Oryzias latipes: one gene and its partner. The protein of the gene in region 1 purifies or fractionates together with the protein of each later gene. This does not show direct contact. Links are inferred from orthologs where the notes say so. Each region holds a gene or a part of one and is shown on either strand. Other genes may lie near its edges.

What was found. The genes of interacting proteins can lie anywhere in the genome.
Region 2: the proteins of tsr1 (region 1) and bysl purify together in Homo sapiens (affinity purification with mass spectrometry; 3 studies listed by BioGRID and IntAct, counting the BioPlex papers as one, with this or other methods). This does not show direct contact. The link is inferred for Oryzias latipes from reciprocal best matches to the Homo sapiens genes TSR1 and BYSL.

The regions. Positions count from the first base shown.
Region 1 is NC_019871.2:11,043,758-11,052,107, forward strand, and holds the start of tsr1 (pre-rRNA-processing protein TSR1 homolog), read right to left. Parts: upstream 4,361-8,350; 5' UTR 4,335-4,360; coding exon 4,208-4,334; intron 3,257-4,207; coding exon 3,153-3,256; intron 3,073-3,152; coding exon 2,844-3,072; intron 1,505-2,843; coding exon 1,370-1,504; intron 1,262-1,369; coding exon 807-1,261; intron 437-806; coding exon 292-436; intron 197-291; coding exon 18-196; intron 1-17. UniProt on the Homo sapiens protein: Required during maturation of the 40S ribosomal subunit in the nucleolus.
Region 2 is NC_019863.2:2,266,689-2,274,582, forward strand, and holds part of bysl (bystin), read right to left. Parts: intron 3,960-7,894; coding exon 3,826-3,959; intron 3,744-3,825; coding exon 3,583-3,743; intron 732-3,582; coding exon 629-731; intron 515-628; coding exon 160-514; 3' UTR 1-159. UniProt on the Homo sapiens protein: Required for processing of 20S pre-rRNA precursor and biogenesis of 40S ribosomal subunits. May be required for trophinin-dependent regulation of cell adhesion during implantation of human embryos.

The DNA of each region.
Region 1 (8,350 bases):
AATCCTTAAATGTATACCTGGGAGTCATTCTCTTCATCGTCTTTATCCATAGGTTCATCCATCATGCTGTCATCATCATCATCACTGCTTTCTCCATCTAAATCATCCACTTCCTCCTCATTGTCATCAACGATCCATGTTGCTTGGTAGTCTGATGTTCCTTTGGGGACCTTCATGGTTTTGCTTTTTCTGGCCTCTGAACAATAAAGAGAACTTTCAATCCTCCGCGCTCAGACTCTTTGATCAGTTATCTGTCTGATAAAGCAGGCAGTACAAGCTGTGTTTCTGCACCTTCAGCCTCCAAAAGCTCTGCTTCTGTCGGCCATGTTTGCTCGCCGTCCATGGGGTCCACCTCGGCCTCTGACTGCAGACTCTCTCTGAGGGAGGGGTCAGCTTTCATGAGAACTCGCACAGGAGCTTCGGTAACATCTCTTTCCTGTGGGGTCAAACAAAACTTGTAGTTGTTTTTTGTTTTTTTTAAACATCCTAAATAGCATAAAATGCACTTTCACGACAGATAAAGTCTGTGTTTTAACTCTAAGTAGAAAGAACATGCATTGATTCTGCACACTATTACAGTAATACATGTTTTATTGATGCATCCTTACAGATTTGAATGAAGGAATGAAGGTCAAAGTCAAGTTAGCTAATTTAAGAGATCCTTAAAAACATTGAGATCCAAGCAGGAAACCTTTCTGATTTAACTCTCTGTCGTGTAAGAAAATATGCAAATTTATCTGGTTTGTAAACTGGACTCAACCTGTCACATCCTTTTTTAAAGTATTTAAAAGTCAATGAACACCTACCTGCATCTCCACCTCTTGGATTTTTCCAGGTTTTGCCGTTCTGGGTGTTGTTAAGTTGAGTGGAAGTGGGTCAGATGGAGCATCAATCTGACTGAGCTGGAAGTCTCCGTGACCGCTGATGTGCACCAATCGGTGTACCCCAAGAAGATGGCCTCGAACATACCCAGAAACACAGAGCGTGCCAAGGCCGGTGCGCCCGCTGTCGGTTCCCTCTACAGGGCCGTTGGGTGAAAAAGTAACGTTCTGTGCTATAAGATGGGAACGCCTGGAACGAAAACCCAGCTTTCTTTGTCGCTGAGATCCCAGGTGTCTGAGAAGCAGAGTTGCATCCTGCTCAGAGTCCAGGGGGAAAAGACGGGCATCTGGAAAGCGGACCTCTGCTATTTTTGACAAAGCTCTTCTGGATTCGACCCTCTTCTTCACAGGAACGTCTGACATACCCTGGCACACTAGTGCTGGGAGGGAGTTGAGAGACAAGAAGTTACAAAATATTCAAGAAAATAATAAGTTGATAATAAAACCCTCAAAAAAGTGTCAATTTTGTCCACCACAGGAAAACTAACCATGGCTGGGGAGGCCTTGGGCGAAGAGGCATGACAGACAATATTCTCCGTAGCTGTCCCAACCTTCAGCAGAATCCATGACAAACACCAGGGTGTCTGCAATCTTTGCCACGTCCAGCAGGGAGTGCATGTCAGCTGTTCAACCAGACCAGGAGGTTTCAGAACGCGGAAACAGAAAATGATCACAAAGTCATGAGGACAGAAAATCATTGCAACGTAAATACAAATCTCAAATCTAACATCATTTTTTTAGTTATAAAACTAGTGGGACAGAAATGTTGCCTGCCAAAATGTCTGCCAAACAGACATTTACATAAAATCAAGTCCTACTTGTTCAAAAAGGATCTCAATAAAGATGTTTGTGCTTTTATTACAACCTGCTTTAACTGCTCTAATGCTATTCATGACACATTAACTAAGCTTCCTTTTTGAACTACAAATTCCACAGAGAGCTATAAATAGCTTTTTAATTGGTACCTGCTGACGTGGAACTCCAGTTTCAGCTACCTATATATAGCGATCCTTGCAGGTGTGTGGATCAGTATTTGCTACTGATAGCAACGCAGAAGAAGAATTGCTGTCCAAAACAAACATGGAATCTGATCTTTTTCCTCCTATACTTTATATTTTTCTTATTTGAATCGAGACAATACTTTTTTTCCCCCCTTTCTTGGACTATTACTGGACAGTAAGTAATCAAACTGGGTCACAAAGACACGGAAGTACAGCTGGTGGCGCCGTCAATCACATGCAGCTCATGCAGTATTGAAGGTAATGATTGCCGTAAGAAAAAAAAAGACTTAATGATTTCATGAGCCCAGGCATGGAGATATGATTACAGACGCTTTTGTAGAACTTTTCAAAATGAACAAACCTGATCTCTCAACGTCTTCCATGCATTTTATATGAAAAGTGCTTTATAAATAAAGTTTGATTGCTTGTTTGATTATAAACAAAATATACAGTAAACAGTTTGTGTAGCAGTGAGGCTAAAAATATGACGGATGCTTCTCCCTCATTCGACAGAAGCATCTAGTTTACAAACACATTTTCGGACAAGCGTTGAGCATCAAATTTGATGTGTGTCAAAAGAGGTAGAGGTTACAAATTTAACGCATGTCAAAAAAGAGGGAGAGGACGCGAATTTGAGTGTGCATTGCGTTCGGTGTGAATAAAAAATTATACCGGGCTTGGCAATTTGGTCAGTAACGTCGGACTTTTCTCCCAAAAGTGCAACTTATACTCCGGAGCAATCTGTATGAGTTTTTCTTCTTTATAATGTATTTTTTGGGTCCTGCGACTTATACTGCAGTGCGACTTATACACCAGAAAATACATTAAGTAGCATGTTTCCCAGCTGTGTGGTTTTCTAAATGAGCTTTTTCTCTTTGCTTCTAAAGGTTTTTTTTTAATTCAAGTTAACTATGACGATGTATCAAAGCAAAGTTTCTTTTTTACATCAATCAAAACATACCTGTGCTCTGACTAAGAAAGGTGAACCTCAGTTTGAAACGAGGCAGAATGAGCCCAAAGCTGTCGCTAACGCCACTGATGCACCCCTCCTGCTGCACAATTCCTCCAGAGCCTTCTTCTCTTAGCAGCTTAGTTACAGCACCAGCATCCGCTCCTGCATGTAGGGATACCACCACAACCAAATGAGGAGGTCCGTCCCTGCTGCCCAGACGCCGCTTTTCTGTCAGGATCTACAACAGCAAGAAACAGAAAGTCTGTAGCATCAAACAAGAATGTGAGGTATTGTTTTATCAAACAGTACATGAAATACCATGTCCTTCTTATTTCTGCGTAGCTGGTTGGCCTTGTGCCTTCTGTCCATCTTCTTCAGCTCCTTCCGTTGTTTTTTTGTGAGGGCTGTCACTGAAACTCTCCCTGTGGGACAGTTAAACACAAATATGCAAAAGGTGGTGTGCTGCAAGTGGTTCCCTAAAGGTAAATACAGAATCGTCTTTGCCGGTGGTTCGTTTGTTCTTTCAGAGATAGAAATAGGAGCTGTTATGAAAGAATGGGGGGAGGGGGTAAAAATGTGATTAATAAACAGTAATACTGAAGCATAAAACTGCAAACTACAAAACAAAGATTGACTATCTTTAAGGATAAAAATAACCTCTAAAATCACATAAAATCACATCATATGTTAAGCAAAAATACATAATTTAATTATCGTCTTTCATAAAAGTAACTAAATTAAGTAATAAAGCCTTTACAGTTTAAAAGGAAGATATCTTTATGAATCCAAGAATTCAAATAATAAAAAAGTGCAACTACGTGATCTGAGTTGACTACAGAGGGTACAAAAAACAAGATTTCTAATATAAACTGTTTTAAGAATCCACATTTGGAAGTAGTCTTGTTTAGCTAAAAATGAAGAGTAATCACCTATTAAATGGGGATAAAGAAACCCTAACAAAGTGGCTGTGTTTTTACAAGGTTCATCTCTCTTTATTACTTTGTTATGGATGATAATAATGCACCGATAAAACACTAAAGGCGTGAAAACTAGCTTTTCAATATGAAATACCAGATCCCGAAGATCCATCTCAGTCTGCAATAATATGTATAAATATAAATCAAATGTCAATATATCAAATAAGAAGTCGTCAAAAAGGTCGTTTATAGTTCGTCTGTTATGGACTCGTGTTAATTTTTCAGAGAGCTTTAACCAGTTCATTTCTAATAATATACTTTCCACGTACACTGCGTGACAGGATTTTATTCAAAAAACCTACTAAAAAAAAGGCACGTCGTCACGTGCGCATAGGAACAGCAGCCCCAAGATACTCCAACAAGAAGAAAAACGCGTCGTGACTGAGCATCACTTACCTTTGTTTTCTCTTTCAATGTCACCTTTCGTCCGATGTTTACCATGTTTGTGTACTTTATTTTTCTGTTTGTATATGCCAGCTCTGTGGCCCTGCTGTTTTTCCCCGTCAGCAGCCATTTTCACCATGTGGGAATGTCGGCGAAATGAACTTCCGCATATCCTCTGACGTCATGAAAGAGGCGTTTCTAGGACCACGTTGTCTTCTTCAGAATAAAAGTCTTGCAAGTCAAAAAATTTGGAACATTATATTTGGATTTTCTCTCTCGTTATAATGTAATAATATTTAAATCGCACAGCATTGTAAATTGTCTTCAACAAAAATGTAACACCCTACAATGTATTTGTAACAGATTTGCACTGTGTGAAGAATTTGGTATATGATCAGATGCTTTTCTTTAAAAGGGAGCAAAAAACAGATGTTGTTTTTTTTTTTACTATTATGTGCAGACTTTTTATTTAACCTTTATTTTACCAGGAAGTCCCTTGAGATAAAATGTATTTTTCGAGAAAGATGTTACCGAATACAAAATGTTTTCAAGCATAACTTGACAACCAATTTCTATTCTATTTTAAAGGATGTCATTTGACAAGCCTGCTATAGCTTCAATAAATCTTTGGAGAAAATTAAAGAATTAAAATCTTATCTTTGACCACTATAAAAACAAATATGCCTAAGGGAAAACTTTAGGCAATAAAAAACACACTTTTAGTAGAGACGAAAACTAAATTTTCAGTCGACATTTATGTAATAATTAAGCTTTTTGACACAGTTTCTTTCCATTTCACAAAAGGTGTAATCCCAGGACACTCTACAGCAAAAGAGAATAGGTTTATTTAAAGTTTAAGAAAATATAGCAAAAAGCATTTCCAAAGTGGAAATTTAAATACTTAATGAGTATAGCTTTTCAGTTTGCCATCAATATTGACGTTTGAGAAAAATGTTTCAGCCTGGCACAAATAACTTAGGAAACGCATTAAAGGCAGGGATAAAAAAAATACATTTAGTAAAAAAGTGATCAAATATCACATACAAAGAAACATTTTTAAAAATGTAGTTCCTGTGTGTCTTCCAGTACAGCCTTTATGGTCCATCCAGTGGCATCGCCATGGGGATGATTAAAAAACTGAATGTCTCATTTATTAGTCCTGTTCTCTTACTAAGGTGTTGAAAAAGCTCAAATAAACAGGTTGTATAAAAAAAAAACAAGTTTGAAATATCTTTGCCTAAAAGAAACTTAAAGCTTTTCTAAAATGTCTGATAACTGTGTTACATTTCTGAAAGAAAATTTTTAAAAAACAAAGTCAGAGTTGGATAACTAAATTTGGGTTACCACAGAAGTACTACTTGGTTTTCCTTGATACTTATCTGGGCACCCCTGATTGTTTTTTGTTTTTTTTCTGGAGGTGCCCCTGTTTGTTGTTGCTTATTGTAAGTTAAAGCCGGTTCTGATAGACAGTTCTCAGAAAAGACCTTTGTGGAGCTGGACATCTCTAAAGCACGCTAACCATGGATGATAGGGAGGGAAAAACACTTCCTCAAACAGGAACAATAACCAAAACTTCAAATCTGGCAGTGGGCGGGGCTTGGATTTGAAAGGCGGGGCTGTTGGACGTCCAACTCTGCCTTCTTCTCGCAGGCTGCTGCCTCCTTAAATCTCTGGATTTTGTTGGGACAGTTTCCTGCAACAGGCGGGGCCGAACTGTTGTTTGCAACATGTCGAAAGAGGACAGACAGTTGAGTTTAGATAGCTACTCTCACATAACTTAACAGCTCAGTTAACAGCGTGCTAGCCTAAAAGACCCAATTTGTCAGTAGGATTCGTGGATGTCTTCGGGGCTTGTTTATGGGTGTGTCGGAGAGATTTGAAGTTTCATCACGTTTTTCCAACCCATTTTCGTCAAGCAAGGCCGTAGTGGAACCGTTGGCAGCCATCTTTGGACCAGCCTGGGAGTGGGACCTGACGACTGAGACACCCCAGTTACTTTAAGGGTGGGGATTACAACATTTGGAGCTGTCTTGTCGGAGTAAAGCAAACATATGACAGCGACATTAGGTACCTAATACGACTTGGCGCGCAACGTTACGTCGTTTGCCGTGAAAGAGAGATTACGTCTTATAGTTTTAAATTTGTTTTGAAATATCCGACACACTCAAACCTGAAGCTGGCCTGTCAGCCCAAGGCGAGTTTTTTTGCTAACATGCTAAGCTAACTTAGCAAACATTACACAGATTTGTTTTTACATTTCAGAGAAATGCCTGTTCGTTTAGACGAAATGTTTAATTTCGCGAAAGTCAAAACATATGTCCAGTAGTTGCTGTTTTATTTAAAACGGCGAGTATTTCCCCTACTACTTTACCGTAACTTGGCTACGAGTTAAGTTTTTCTCGTGTGGCTAATATGAAAAACAACGATTCTTGTTTATATGCTCATGTTTTGAATGTCTCAAAACCTCTTATTTGGGGGGATATTTTAGTTTTTTAACCTAATCTTTAAAAAAATCAAGGGTTTTACATTCTTAATCATTGAATACAACTAAAATATAAGTTAGTATAACTATGTTGCAATCAAATTGAGGAGAAACACCTCAGGTAACCACGTCCTTTAGGTTAGGGAGAGAGAGAAAGGTAAGGCTCGGCTGCCTCCTAAACACGAAAACAACTATTTCAATGATTTTAAGATAATAAATCACAAAATCACTATTTGCTGATATTAACATTAACTTTTTTATACGTAGTTGCTGTGAAATCCTGAATTTGTGTACGCCAGGTGGAAATGTTTTCAATTGGTCAGACCAGATCATGCAATCTTTCTGTTGTTTTTCTCAAGGAAAATATCAGTTCTTTGTTTTGAAACGTCAAGTATTTCCTTAAAGTAGTTACAACTTACTGTGATAAAATTGGAATGTATAGTCATGCCTTAGTTTTGAAGTTTTAAAAGGAAGTTGGAGATCAAATTGCTACTTAGTTAAAGATAATCTCTGGTTAAAATGGCTCATCAGAGCCCATGCTTGGTGCAGCTTGAACAGGAAATGCTGGGAAATGCAGTGTAGTGAAGCCATACATGGGGAAGTCCAGCCCTCCAGCTTTGTTGTCTTGTCCAACAGCATTCTTCTGCACGTGTTTGTGTTAGCTGGATTGCTGGGGTGTTTCATGAAGGTATTGGTTATCCTTACTTTTCTCCTATTGTGTCCACGATTGAAAAGGCCATCGGGAAATATGACAGCAAAGCTCGCTAAGGGGCAACAGTGTTCTAAAGAACAACAGCAATAAAGAGCCACAGTCCTTCATGCTAATGAGGTTTTTATTTCAGGCCTGTGGCTGCATCTGTGCAGAATAGTGGGCTGTTCTGTGTTGTTGTGAGACAAAAGATGTCTGCTTGAACTAGGGGATGTTTCTCCCAGGCTGGGAAAGAAGTCTTGTGACTCTGGCGTCAGCTTTGCATCTGTTTGCAACTGATCATCTGAGGCACATGAACTCAGTGCATTCTCCTCAGTGATCTTTTATGGTCTTGAAAATACGCAAGTAAAATTATGTAATTGAGAACATTTTATTTGCAATTTTAAACTTAATTTAAATTGCACCTGAATTCTGTAGTGTTTCATTTTATTTTTTAGTATTTTTGGTATTAAAATACACACATTTTTTCATAGATTTTGTTCTTATGTATATTCTTTATGACGATCCCTTCTAGGGTGAACTTACAATCATATCACATACCTTAAACATATTGTTTTGTATTACTGTTGTGGAGTTATCAAAAGTCCAGACAAACTCAAAGCAGCTGTGTGGTTAAAATTCATGTGTTGCATTTGGAGGATAATAAACAAACCCTGAGATTATACACCTTGTACAGTTCAGCTACTTCAAGTAAACAAGGAGCCGCTGTACTGAAACGCTTTGTAGCAGCTCAGGTATCGGCTAATTAGAAAAGCAAGAAACGTTTCAAAAAAATGCATTCTTTTCTTGTCTCCTGACATGATCTGGATGTTCAGTACTGTAGCTGCTGTCACTATGGAAACGGTTATCTGATGCCATATCAAGTCATTGGAAATTCAGGCCTGTCTGTTGTTTTGTACCTGACTTCAAAGTTTACCTAATATTTTGCATAGTTTTCTTTATTTTGACTCATTAAGGTTTAGTT
Region 2 (7,894 bases), on another chromosome or scaffold:
ACAGTTATGGGCACAAACCGGTTCATATTGTTCCTGGCGTTCTCTAGGGAGGCACAGAGTTTTGAAACCCTCTCCGTGTTACAACAAGAAGTTTGATTTACTGGAAGATCTATAATCATAAAGAAATGTGAGAAGAATGATCAACTTTCCTAGCATGAATCAGTGCATTTCTACAGTAACAGGAAGCCCAATTTCAATGTCCCTGGACTCTGAGTTTTGTAACTCCCTACGAATTTCTGCAGAAATGGGAGGGTGTGTTTGAAGCTTGAGTAGCTCCAGCAGAGCCGTTTTCTGTTCAGAGGCCAGGTCAGCCTTGTAGCGCTGTGCCAGGGTGAGCAGACTCTGATGCCACAGCACAGGAAGAACACGTTTTTCACTACGGAAAGACAGGAAGTGGGCCACCAAGGCATCCAGGACACGGAAAGGCAGGGCGTACTTCTTGTCGAGCAGCAGACGCAGGAAAATGCTGTTGGCGCCGTTATACTCCATCTCTGCCAACTTCAGCATTGCAGCGCTGAAAGGCAAAATCAAACCTCTTATGTAATGTTGGGCTTGCCACAGTAGAAAGTATTACAAAGCTGGTTTTATCAAACAATAACATCTGGACATCAGGGTGCAGAGGCCTCACCTGGAATGCAGCACAGGGATCGAACACTTTGTGAGAATGCTGCCAATGATGATGGCTTCTCTGAGAGTGCATGTCCCAGATTCACACAGAGGAATCAGTATACCTGTTTAACAATAAAAAATAAACCAGGTGAAGACCATAGGGAGTAAATGCTCCACAGGGTAAATTTCCATAAAAATAAAAAATAAACGGGTTCTATATGAATTATTGAATTCGTCTAACATGTTACATTTTGGACAACTGTTAGCTTGTGGGCAGCTTTATAGACATTTGCATGATAGGTTTTATTGTTCATTTCATTCAGACTCTTGTAAAATGCTTAAATGCAGTTTTGTTTAGGACAAACGTTCAGCTTGTATGCAGACGATGCAGTCTTTTACATACATTAGGGCCGGCCAGCTCATTCCTGGTCCTGGAGATCTACCACCCTGCCTGTTTTCCAGCTCTTCCTGCAATCCTTCCTGCTGATCACCTGGATGGAACAGGTGTGTTCATTCAATCATTATGTGGAGATATCTGACTGAGCTAATCAGGACCCAGGAGAGCTTGGAGATCTGGGAAACAGTCAGGGTGGTAGATCCCGAGGACCAGGAACGAGCTGGCCTACATTATGGAAACACTTTAAACGGTTTCTAAAACGGTGACAAATCTTTCTGCTTACCCATCTAAAAACAGCTTGAATGTTGTTTACTAAAGCTAACAACTTGAAAGGTGTTCTTAATATATATACATCACGCAATGTAGAGAAGATTGAAAGTTTTAGGTGTTCACTTAGACCAGGGGGGTCAAACTCATTTACATTGAGGGCCACATCAGCATAGTGGTTGTCCTCAAAGGGCCAGATATAACTTATACATGTAACTTAATGTAAAGAAAAATAAATGTAACTACTCCTTAATGTTAGATTACTCATTTGTTTATTTATTATAACTTTTTAAAGTGACAATTACAGTTGCATAGAAACATATGTTTTCTTCTTACTTTAGCATAAATCCTTTTACATTTGATTCTGTCAGGTTAGGTTATATGGACAGTGTTTAAGTCCTAATGTATAGTTGCCCAATCTGATATTTCAAGTCCGATTCCCCCTAGATATGAATAAATACACACCAATTTTTATTTTAAGAAATTAAAAACCTTTATGCTCTCGCAGGCCACATAGAATTTTGCCCCGCGGGCCTTGAGTTTGACACGTGTGACTTAGACCAAACATTTCGTCAATTACACAAGTAGCATTAATGATGTGGCTAAAAGCCTCCAAAAAGAACCATTTCTAATTCTAAATAATAAACATTTAGCCCATGTGCTATCTTGTGGGGTCCAGATGACCCCCACCCTTACATTGACGTGTTCTCCCTACCATGACAAAGGTGGATAAAGGTGAAAGATTTCATGTAATCCATGGACACCAGTGAAGATCACAAATCATTGAAGAAAAAAGGTTCAGAGCACTGCCTCCAAGAGACAAACTACGTGCCTCCAAGGCACGTTAATGTTGGGAGTGGGGTCATCTGGACCCCACCAGACAGCACAAAGGATAAAAAAAAAAAACTTTTTAGCATAAAATATTATTAGTTTTGTTACCCTTATCAGGTATGAATGTATGATAAAAAAAAATTGCTCCACAACCCTAAAAAATTGTTCAACATAGTCTACAGCAGAAAACTAATAAGTGGAAGCAAATGGATAGAATACCAGTTTAATCTCCATAAGATCCTCTCCCTTTTTGCACCAAGACATTAGAAAAAAGACGTCCAGATACGTCACAAATACGGGCCTTCAATAGTCGCTTATTAAACTTATCTGTGTTTCGTTTGCACTCATTTAATTTCATTTTTCTCTATTGTAAATGTAACTTTATAATGTTTTAGTAGTTTGCCCCCCCACACACGCACCTGTCCAGGTAATGTGTGACTCTGAGGTCAGAGATAGTTTAGCTCAGTAGGAAGTATCTGCTACTGCTAATAAATATAAATACAGTTCTGTTTTATATTATGATTAAAGCTTTAATTATCATTACTCATCTTGAGAGGATAATACTTGTATCAATGGTTATGGAAGCTTAGGTATTAAAGACAAAAGATGATGTTGCTGCACTGGAGAGAAGCACTGCCACCTAGTGGTGACACTTGGAGGGGATGTTATGTTTTAAAGTAGGTCATAGTTTGGTTTGGAACAATGGTCTTCTTAAACTGAAACCCTTTTTAAACATGAACAGCAACAGCATTAAGGGATAGAATATCTTTATATAATAAAGTTGTAGGTATTGAAACTATTTGACTCAGTTTAGTACATATGAATTATTATCCTCCCAGAACCAACAAAGTCATCTGGCCTGCAGACATTTAGTAATCTTTGATCATATTTTTTTTTTTACAATCAAGTATACATACTACAGTCATTTAATCTGTGACACATTCCAATGAAAATAGATTCCATGATTTGCAAAAAGCTGCTAAATCCTTGCATTTATTTCCAAATTTGTTTTTGCTTTGACATGTTTTCTTGGTGCTAGTTTTGTTGATGATGAGGTGTGCTCCTGACCATTTGGCCAGGTTGCCCTTGCAAAAGAGATCTTAATCTCAGTGGGTTATCAGGTTAAATCAATTAAAAGGGAATTAAATCACTGACTTCTTTCATCAATGGCTAAAGCCGCAGGGATTGGAAAACCTGACTGTTCCTCTCAACTCTGCAGATTACTGACTTCTCTTTAAAGAAAAGAAGAGCAAAGATCTTTTTATACTCCAACTCAGGTGAGTCAAAAAGACACTAAAAAAACTGCCAATATAGAACTTTGACAGCTGCTTAACGGTATGTTTTTTAAAATCTTGGGTCTCTGAAGTGATATCAGCTTGTATTTTTTAATATTCCATTTGTCACCAAACTCAAAGATCAAAATTGTTTGCAGACATTAAAAAACCAACGTTCTCCCTCCACATCTGAAGCAGCGGTACCTTTAAACCATGCTCCCGGTTTGAAGAGGGCCTTCTTCAGAGCGCTGTAGAGATGGAAGTTCAGCCGCTTGTACTCTGCAATGTCATCCCTGACCCGCGGCAGCAGCACCAGGTTGTAAAATCGCTGAGCCATTCGTTCCTTGAGATTTGAAGAGAAAATTCTGCGACAGAAACATTTAAAATGCTGTTTATGAATGTTGAACATCTGACGGGTCCATCTGCGGTCCTTGTTTATAAAATCACCTGGTTGCTTGGTACATGGCAGCTGCACTCCAGCTCTCAGGCTCAGTCAAATACAGGACCTGCTCCCAGTTTGCCAGCGCAGGAATGATCTTAAAAGCCTTTGGCAGTTTACCGCTGCGATATTTGGACAGAACCTGAACCAAGAAACAAACAAAGAAATCAGAACTCCTCAAACAATGCAGAAAATAAGATATTGAATATTTATGTGTTCAAGTTTTTCAACGAGATCCCCCCTTGATCAGTTTAAATGACTAAAATGTATGGACATATATGAAACGTCATCAAAAAATACATTTAAGGGGGATCACCTATACTCTAAATCAGTGTTTTTCAACCAGTGTCCGCGGCACACTAGTGTGCCGTGGGAGATGGTCAAGTGTGCCGTGGGAAATTGCCCTCATTAATCATTCACTGATCTAAAAACATTTCCCATCTCCAGGATTTCAGCTCTGTGTTCATCCAAACAGGCCCTGATAAAACACTGAGGAGTTAGGAATATGAACGATCTTAAAATTACTATTTCTTTGTGTTTATTTAATTCTATTAAAGACATTTTGATAAGAATGACGTTACCGCGATTTACCTGCAGCTATGACAGTTTGTGGAAAAGTCCCGTCCCTTTAACTGTCTCCACCAATCATTCTTGAAGGCTTAATCACATGTCATCAGTCTGACCAATCAGAAGTGCTTAAAGTCTTCACTTCCTTGTTCTTAATTCTGCTGATAAAGTCGCTCAGTTCTAACAAAAATACCAGCTAGAGCTCGTCTTTAGCGGTGTAGCTTTCCACAGAGTCCGGTGTCAGACCGTGAAACAAGTGGACAATACAATGAAGCTCAGAGACGCGAGTCTTTCTGCAAGTTTTCGGCACTTTTCACACCACACCTCCCATGATGCATTGGCTTAAAGGGCCAGTGTCCCAGCGCACAATGAGTTGTCCTTGCGAAATTTTTGGGTTGTACAAAAACAATCGATATAATTTAAAAAAGCGCTGTTTTAGGTGAGACCGATGTGACGAAAGAAAAAAATTCATTGGCGGATTTTTAAAGAATTTTCTTGGTGCACAAAAAAGGCGTTTAGCTCCAAAAAACAAGCAAGAATTCAGTCCAGACTGTTACTTCTACTGTAACCCTTGTGCTATCCTAGGCACTCTAACGTAGGGAGTTGGGTCATCTAGACCAGTGTTTTTCAACCAGTGTGCCGCGGCACACTAGTGTGCCGTGGGAGATGGTCAAGTGTGCCGTGGGAAATCACCCTCATTAACTGATATAAAAACATTTCCCATCTCCGGGATTTCAGCTCTCTGTTCATCAAAATAGGCCCTGATAAAACACTGAGTAGTTAGGAATATAAAAGATCGTAAAATACTTTTTCTTTGCGTTTATTTTATTTTATTAAAGACATTTTGATAAGAATGATGGTACCGCGATTCAGCTGCAGCTCCGGCTGTATTTAGGAAAAGTCCCGCCCCTTTACCTGTCTCCACCAATCATTCTTGAAGGCTTAATCACATGTCATCAGTCTGACCAATCAGAAGTGGTTAAAGTCTTCACTTCCTTGTCCCGATTTAGCTCGTAAAATCGCTCAGTTCTAACAAAAATACCAGCTAAATCTCGTCTTTATCGGTGCAGCTTTCCACAGAATCCGGTATCAGACCGTGGAACAAGTGAACAAAACAATGAAGCTCAGAGACGCGATCTCCGCCGGCCGTTTTTTGCACTACATCTCCCATGATGCATTGGGTTGTGAGAGTGAAAGCGCACAAGGAGATCTGTTGTTAAACGTCTTGAAACCAACGAACACACATCAAACTGTTTTTAAATCTTCTAACTTAACTTTTATTGCAACTTTTAGAAAAAAAACAGCTGCAGTTTCCAGCTTTTTCTGCAACAATTATCTCAAAAATGCATGCGAGATTGTGGAGGGGCTGTAGATCAATACATACTGAGTTTCTCCGTTTTTTTTTTTTAATTTTTGGATCCTGGTGTGCCGCGGGATTTTTTTTAAGGTTAAAGTGTGCCGTGGCTCAGAAAAGGTTGAAAAACACTGATATAGACCCACTAGACAGTGCTCTGAACCTTTTTTCTTCAATGATTTGTGATCTTCACTGGTGTCCATGGATTACATGAAATCTTTCCACCTTTATCCACCTTTGTCATGGTAGGGAGAACACGTCAATGGAAGGGGGGGGGGTCATCTAAGATAGCACAAGGGTTAAGTAGTTCTTCTATTCTCCACTCGTCACCTGTATTAAATGCCACCTGGTTTTTTTTTTGTTTTTTCTATTGGTTATCAGTATTAAAAACCACCTGTCAGTATGGAGTTAATTCAGTCTCAATAATCAGAAATTGCACACAACCTGTAACACAAATACACACGCTCTGATTCACAACTGTACTTTTACGCAAACGTGCAATATTAATTTGGAAATCCACACGTTGTGTTTGACAAATGCACACCCTGTGTTTCACAAACACACACGTTGTGTTTCACACATGCACAAAAAGTTTTCTCACAAATGTACATGCTGTGTTTCACAAAAACACAATTTTCAGAAATGCACAATAGATCCTTCACAAACATCATTTTAGGTACACTTGTGATATGAATTCACAGATCATGAAAATGTTAGAATGTGATTCACAAACCCGCTCTCATTTGTGAATCTCCCCACATTTGTGAGAGATTATTCTACGGTGAATATTGAGACTCCCTTCATGCAGCAGGTCAACTAATGTCACCGATGAATCTGTCAATCAAACTCATCAGCAAAGCAGGCGTGCTGGCTTTCAGCCAATCCAATGGCCCCATTGACTTTCTCCAGCTTTTACACTGATGTCGGAACTGAAGGTGCACGGCACACAAGCATGGCGGAAAAGTTTTAAAGTCCGAAGGTGCAAAGTCCTCTAGTTAGTAACAAAATCAAATCATCCATTATCATTATAGTCAGTCTAGTAACTCTGTTCTAACTTTAGAGGTAACGCAACAGGACAGTTGGAGGCTGACTCCACTCTCAGCCCTGATTTGAAGAATGAAAAAAAAAACAAAGGTGTGTGTGGGGGTATTGACCTGTGGGGTTTACTTTGAGGTAATGTAGTCACGCTGCATCTTTAATATGGAGAGTGGTACAAAGTGATGCCAGTTTCTCCACAGAACTTTTTTTGGAAGCTGAGAATTTTTCTCCTCCACCTTCTCATGATCCAGACTGAAGAGTCCAAGGTGTCTGAGTGCTAAAAGGTCGCTAGTATCATAGCTAATAAGGATAAAGTATTAGCAAACTATGCTGAGTGAAACATTCATTGAAATCTCATCACCAGGGGACAGTTCTCTGGATTCAATTCCAACTGCATTCAACAACTGTTGCCTTGCTTCCAAATCCACTGGAAATGTTGAATGTTTGCGTAAAAATACAGTTGTGAATCAGAGCGTGTGTATTTGTGATACAGGTTGTGTGCAATTTCTGATTATTGAGACTGAAATAACTCCATATGTCTGCACCCTTAAAGAGTTAAACTGCAACCTCTCCAATATGAACAAAGAGCTGTCAAAGGACACCAGGGACAACATGAACAGAGCGATGTATGGTGAGATCAGTGAGAGCATTGAGGATGAAACACATCTGTACCATCCACCAAGAACACATCGTCCAGGAAAACAAAGGACCGGCTCTGATGAAAACACTTTGTGGTTCTGGAGTGTTCTAGTCTGTCTCTGGACTTCAAACCAATACAGAATCTTGGATGGAGTTGCTGTGTCCGGATTCCCTCACTACTCCGTAACCCCTGAAATACTGAACTATCATGTGTTCTTAATTTAATGCAATTCAGACACGTACTCACTACATTTCACATCATCAATTTTCCAAAATAATAACCTAAAAATGTTGAGCAGTTGAGCAGAAGACTATTTATTTATCCGGTACTAGGTTAGTACTGGATCAAAGATCGACCAGAGACCTTTGCTTTTTGGCTCAGCTCTCTCTCCGATCTTCCCTCACTCGTGAACACCTGGGGCAGGAGTACTCTACCCACCCAGAGATGGCAAACTACCTTTCTCCGGTCAAGAATCATG